2 linked regions of the Tribolium castaneum genome follow. The main gene of each other region encodes a partner of the protein of the gene in region 2 in a complex. Links are inferred from orthologs where the notes say so. Each region holds a gene or a part of one and is shown on either strand. Other genes may lie near its edges.

Evidence for each region.
Region 1: the proteins of N (region 2) and Su(dx) are in contact, whole or in part, in an NMR structure (PDB 2JMF), measured with the Drosophila melanogaster proteins. The link is inferred for Tribolium castaneum from reciprocal best matches to the Drosophila melanogaster genes N and Su(dx). Residues at the interface, in NP_001245510.1 of Drosophila melanogaster: Lys2323, Gln2324, Pro2326, Tyr2328, Glu2329, Asp2330, Lys2333; in NP_001259898.1 of Drosophila melanogaster: Glu528, Arg530, Thr532, Ala533, Ala534, Glu536, Phe538, Val540, His542, Arg545, Thr547.

The regions. Positions count from the first base shown.
Region 1 is NC_087398.1:5,358,255-5,360,741, forward strand, and holds the end of Su(dx) (E3 ubiquitin-protein ligase Su(dx)), read right to left. Parts: coding exon 2,437-2,487; intron 2,386-2,436; coding exon 1,551-2,385; intron 1,500-1,550; coding exon 1,230-1,499; 3' UTR 771-1,229; downstream 1-770. Other genes in the region: HCLS1-associated protein X-1, read left to right, coding at 1-186, 243-360, 416-658.
Region 2 is NC_087400.1:125,316-129,709, forward strand, and holds the start of N (notch), read right to left. Parts: upstream 2,832-4,394; 5' UTR 2,280-2,831; coding exon 2,195-2,279; intron 1-2,194. Other genes in the region: CCDC151 (myosin heavy chain, clone 203), read right to left, coding at 3,066-3,296, 3,350-4,394. UniProt on the Drosophila melanogaster protein: Essential signaling protein which has a major role in many developmental processes. Functions as a receptor for membrane-bound ligands Delta and Serrate to regulate cell-fate determination.

The sequences.
Region 1 (2,487 bases), on a different chromosome or scaffold from region 2:
TGGTTTTCATGAGTTTGGGGATGGTTTTAACCACAGTTTTGACTTGCCACAGCTTGAAATTGAGGAAATCCCTGATGACGAAGGCGCGCCAAAATCTGGGACTTTAAGGGATCAATTCCTCAAACCTGGGTTTGAGAAACCCAAGGAGAGAATTGAAGAGAAAAGAGATGAAGACATTGACGGCAGGTATACGATAAAATTTTTGTTTGTTTTGTTTTAATCCGTTGAAAAATTTACTTTAGGTTGGATATAAGGGATTGGGGATCGGTTTTTAAGGGTGAAAATTCTCAAACGCCAGTACCGAGGACACGCTTTTTTGGCCAAAGTGTTACCTCCAAAACTGTTAGGAATCCAGATGGGGTACGGTTGCGTGTTATGATTTTAAAAATTTAATATCAATCTATTCATATTTTAGTCTATTGAAACGCATCATACTGTGAGGGATAACGAGGGTAATGAAGAAACGACCATCACGCGAAAAGTAGCTGATAAAGAATATACCATTACAAAACGTAGAGATAAAGAAGGTAAAGAAGAAATTATTGAAAATCTGGTAAACTTAGATGAGAATGAGAAGGATAAATTTTTCCCGCAACAAAGGAAACTTCCGGAATTGGGTAACAAACCTTGGCCGTTTTTTGACCAGTTTTTTAAATAATTGAATTGTAAAGTATGAAAATAGAAAAATTTATTTATTGATATATTCTGGACACGTAAGCAAGCATTAAAAACAGAAACGTTGTTGAGGTCGTTTTAAGAAATAAAACAACTTGTTTTACTTGTAATAATTTAATAATTCGCTTCGCATATTTATATACATTTCCTCACTTTACAATATTCTACAAGTGATTATAAAGTAAACAGGTTGTAAATGAAATTTCAAGCCAGTTCGGTTCCAGTCAGTGTATACTTTGGTTAAAAATAAAATTAAAAAAATAATTATGATAGTGCACACCCACGATGGAATGTCATTTTTCGTATTCAAAAATATGTAGTCTTCCCCACATTATTTTCTCTTCAAAAAGTATTTACATTTAGTTATAATCTGTTAGATAAGCTAGAAAATAGGCCAATATTTCTACATATCACATTGAAATACAATCCGACCGAAGTAACAACACAAACAAACTAACAAAAATTGCACAAGCACTGCAAGAAGAGGCCCAAAGAAACGAAATCTCAAACCATGGTCAAGAATCAGGTACGGCTGTTATTACACAATTGAAACTTTACTCCTGACCAAACGTATCAGTCTCTTCAATCGCGTAAGTCAACTTTTCCACCAACTGTTCGTAACTTTTGTACGGCGGCAGATCAAGACGATTGAAACACGTGTGCGAGCGCGGCAACCACGACTCCTTCCCCACCTTTTCAATGCAGAACTTTTGGGGCCCGTTGGAACCCATCAGTTCGGCGAAGCCGCCCACAGGCACACGACACGTCCCTGTCACAAACTGCAGCAAGCGGGCCCGCTTCTCATTATCAGACTGACGCACAAACTAGAAGAAAGAAAAAATAGAAGTGGTTTACAACGTGGTTTTAATACAAACCTGCCAAAACCACACCACCGGCTTGCTACTTCGCGTGTAGTGCCTGTAGATAGTGTGTCGTTGCCAATCGTCCACGTCTATCTCCTGCATGCCACAGAGCAGCAGCTCCAACTCCCTCTCGTCGAAATACTTCAGCCACTCAATGGGCACAACTTCGTTAAAACCGTCCAAAAAGGCTTGAGTTTGCTGCTCGATGCCTCTTGTCATCCTCCACTCGGTCATTAACGTCAAATACTCCTCTTTATTTTCTTCCGTAACTTTTTCCTTATCGCCGTTTTTCTTCAACTCATGGTGCACCACTTGGCCCAAAACTTCGAAATCGACGCTATAGTACAACTCCAAGCCACACTCATCGATGTTGTTCTCCTTGATCCACACCAGCGAATTGTAGAATTCGGGATCTATACTTTCAATATCTTTCATCACAAGTTTCTTCCCCAGCATCCGCTTGTAGAAGGGCATTGTGAAACCCGAATAAATAAATCTCCCGTGGTACAAAGCCATGGCGATAAAGCGCCCAATAAATTTGAAGTAAGTGAGGTGTTCGGGGTTCACATACGACGCAGGGTTGATTTGTAGACTGTAGTTGTTTTTGTTTGCGTACTCGAAGAGACAATACATCGGGTTTAGGGCTTCGTGCGAGACTAAGAAAAACCACTCGCGACTCACACCGCCGTAGTCTAGCCCTTCTTCGCCTTTGAAGATGATGTAGAGGCGCCTTCGGAGCTCGTACGCCGGTAGGCGCATTATCGTGTGGAAGGAGTCCTCAAAGAGGGTCTGACGCGACACTTGGATTTTTATGTGGCTGGGGAGGGCGTTGCTCTGACACAGGAACCTGAAAGGAAAATTTTGTTAGCTTCGCATTTTATTTTTATCAAACAATTACCTAAACTGGCTAATCTTCCACTTGAACGACCTCTCGTACGCCCTCGGCACC
Region 2 (4,394 bases):
TGTTGGTCCTTTCTGGCCCAATTTTCGTAATATTGCACAATTTCTTTATTTTTTTTTTCAAAGTTTGTGTAAATATCTAATCTTTAAGCGTCCTTTTACATGTGTGTATGAGCATATACAGCTGTGTCGTGACGTCACACCCGACGTACTTTAAACCCCCCTATGTATAAAAGTTCTGTAACGGTCATGACAGGTGGTCTCGTCTAAAACGGGCGCGGGTTCAAGTCGCAATATTTATTTGTTCCCTCGGTATAATTTTTACGATGATTAAAATTCAAATTCCCTAGAGAAAAAGAACAAAGTGAACGCAGTGAGCTGGGAATACGAAAACACACTCACTAGATGCAGATTGCGTGAACTAAATAACTGGTTTCATGCAACTCTTGATTATTCTTGAGAACTAAACTAATTAATAAAATATTTATCGGTTCCGTCAAATGACGTAAGATTTTTCGCCACACAACTAATTAAATTTTTGGCTCGGTTTCTCATCCAACGTTGAAATCTTTAGCACATTTGCGCGCTTGGTAAATTTTTACTTTAGCTACTTCTGGATTTTTGAAAATTTTTTTTTTGCATTTTGCTTTAAAAAGCCTCTAGATCAAAGATATGACCATGAAAGTTTGTGCAAATGCCCCGTTTTCGAAAAATTCTACTTTGAATGACCTTGACCTAGACTTTTTAAATTTTATTAACACTCTAATAAATGATATTAGCCGTAAATATAACTATAAATGAGGCAAGGCGCCTACAGATGATAGCCCGCAGGCTGGGGCTTCGCCCCAGCAGGCTGGGGCTTCGCCCCAGCGACCTAAAAATAAACATACCCCACGGACGATTAAACTCGAAAATGTTGAACTCGAAACGTGGAATAGTGGTTTTTATGGAACTATGCTGCGCGTGGCTGGGGCTTCGCCCCAGTTAACTAAAAGGAAACATACCCCACGACCAATTAAACTCGAAAACGTGGAACTCGACACGTGGAATAGTGTTTTTTATGGAGCTAGGGTGCCGTACAGTTCGTGGCAGGAGGCTGGGGCTGCGCCCCAGCTAACTAAAAGGAAATATACACCACGATTGGTAAATTAACCTCAAGAACGTAGCACTCACAAAAAAATACCTTGTTCACCACTAGTAAGTAAAATAGTAATGGAGTGGTGTTGTTGGTTGTGTTGTTGCATGAAGGGAAATGCGGGAATGCATCCCCACTTCCGTCAATCAGCCAATCAGAGCACAGAGACATAAATTCAAATTGCAAAATATGAAAAAATACACCTACTTTTTAATGAAAAAGGTATAATACGTCATTTAAATTCATTCTGGGAATACCCGAAGGTGTTATAATCATAACAAACACGCAGGTGCGATTCTTACCTGTTGAAGCTAAACAATAACAACCAATCAGAAATAAGCACACGCAACGCATGCACACCCTGGTGGCGAACGTTGTATCCCTTAAAATCAACAAAAATGGCGATTCAAGTGAAATGAGTGAAAATAAAAATTATTTTTGTAATGTTATTTTCAATTTGCACAAGAAAATTCATAGTGTACGGTCATCAGGGCACTCAGAGGAATCGTTTGGCGTAAGTTTCAGCTTGAAAATCCAGAAGTAGTTAAAGTAAAAAATTATACCGCGCGCTTTTCACACACAACAGCGCGGAAATACAACAGGTTTGTTACACTTAACAGTGCACATAATCCCAGCACTTCATTATCTACACATCTTTATTTAATTTTGCTGCAATTTTTGAGAATAAAAACCATGGCAACGATACAATATTTTGACATTAGAACCATAGCAACGATTCACATTTTGACATTAAAAACCATAGCAACCAACGGCTTAACAAGGATTCAAATTGTGCACCAACGGATTTCTGGTTATTTTGCATAACTGGCAATGTGCACATTTCGTAAAATTTCTCAGGATATCCCCTAATTACGATTTTCCGTCACTTAACTTGTTTACGCGAGTATCAAGTGGTACTTGAGAACCTGGCGTTTTGTTTACATTTCATGCCGGAAGTGTGCTTTATATTTGCCTAATTATGGTCCAGCAATGCAATAATTGGGATAAAATTCATCCGGCGGCGCCATTTTGCTCTCGCTCAAAACGTCAAAAATTTTGACTTCACAGCCGTCTTAATCTATGTGAAAGTCCTGTTTTGGGGCTGTTACGAGTGGTCCTCACCTGTTGCTACATTCGCTAGGGCCAGTAAAACCGCGGAAGACACTATAATCCGTAAATCATAATCCTTCCAGTTAGTAATCCACATTTTCGTGTAAATTCCCTCATGGGGCACACACTCCACACACGCACCACTACGTTAGACACATTCTCCGCGTGCTTTCGGCCACTTTTTCAGTGTTTTTCATTGAAAATTTGCGTTTTTTCAGCGCTTGAAATACGCACAATACACAACCGACCACAGCACACTCCGTTCTGAGAGGGGGCTTTGTTTGAGACGCGCCAAGATGGCCACCGGATGATTCTTGTATTCCTACGCCGATTTATCTCGGCAAACTCACCGGAAAATGGCCAAAAGCCAGCGGAAAAAACACACCGAGGACAGTTTTTCACAAACTGAAACGATTCGTGTGCAACCTATTGCGCGAAAGTGCCAAAGACGGGAGATAAGCGCGTGAGAAAATTTCTTCGGTACTACTTTTCACAGCAACATGTTGGAATGTCGGTGGTTCTTCCCCCAACCAATGACGGATTCAATATTCAGACTGATTCAGATTTATCTCGTTTACCGAACGAAAGAAAAATCAAAACTGCGATATGACCACGATTAGATAGTTTCTGGTTTCGCTCTTGACACACGTTTCACGCGGGTTTTCACCAAAACAATCTGGTTGTTAAGGAATGATAGTCGGTAACCATGGTTTTTTGTACCAATAACCAATCGCGCCAAACAAAAAATTCAAATTTCGCGCTGCGTGAATTTTTATTGTTTATTGTGCCCAGTTTATGTCGTAATTGCGTCTAACTGTTATTTTCAGCGGAAAATTTTCACATAGTTATTTGCAAATTTATTACACAAAAAATTTTACTTCCTTTATTTTTTTGCGGGAATTCGAATATTTTTGCGCCGTGACTTCGCATCGACGACTAATTGGGCTTGACGTTTCAAGTAAGTCCTGGACGGGACCTCCTCCTCGTCTTCAGATCCCGTGGGAGGTGGAGGAGGAGCCGGGGAAGTCCCGGGCTGGGGAATTGGAGTTCTACGTACTAGGCCACTGTACGGTCCCGGCAACCACTTTTCTTCAATATCTTCAAGTTTAACGACCTAATAAATTAATTTATTACAAGGAATGGTAAAAAATGTGTTAAAAAAGCTACGTTTTCTTCGTTTTCAATGCGGATAATTTTGGCCAAATCGGACTTAATGCACTTCAAAGTGCCCAAAACGTTGCTTTCTGGCACCGAAATCGGGTTAATGCAAGCTTGTAACTCTTGAACAGATCGGAGAATCGTCTGAATCGTCTTATCCTTCACCAGTTTCAAATTGTTGGTTTTGAGTGATATGTTTTTGATTTCGTCGATTTGGCTTAGCATTTGTTCCATTTTAAGCGACTTGCGTTCAGTTTCCTTCACTTCAGCGTACTTGAAAAACTCCAATTGCGTGTTTAAATCGTCCAAATTCTTCTCGAGTTGTTTCTTCTCGCTTTCTGATTTTTTCCGTAGCAAAATAAGCCGTTCTAAGGTGTCTTTTTGCATGTTAAATTTGTGTAAAACCTCCGAGGTGTTAGTGGCCCCTGTCGCTTTCTTCAAAACCTCGAAAGCCCGAGTTAAAACTTCCTCCGGTGGTGATAAAGTTGTGAGCATTGTTTCATTTTCCTCCTCAATTATTTCCTCAACTCTTGCGACTTTCACAACTTGGAAAATACGTTTTTCCAGCAACTCTAACTCTTGTTTTCGCCTCGTAACCAATCTTTGGCCTTCCACAGTTTGTCTATCTCTAAAATGTGCACTTGACATTGCAATTTTCTCCTCTCGAAGGAGGTGTCCACGTGCTGTGCTCCGTTTTTTCGTGGCTTCGTTCATTACGTGTTGCAGTTCGGTAATGTCGTTATTTTGCAACGCTAATTCCTCCTCAATTCGCTTGATATTGCTCTCAAAACGGGCCGAGTCGCGTAACAGTGACTTTTTCACGTCTTTATAACGGGCGGAAATGTGGTTTGCCTCCCTCAGTTGGACCTCAACAGCGTGGATACTGTTCTGAAGTTCACATGTGGCTTTTTTCGCCGGTTTATCGACTTTTTCAACGACTTGTTGCAGAGATTTCTCCGATTGTAACAATTGGAATTCTTCGCCTAATTGTGTTAGTAATTTCTGGCGTTTTTTAATTTTGTAATTGACCAAGTTTAAGCATTTGGATTTGTCG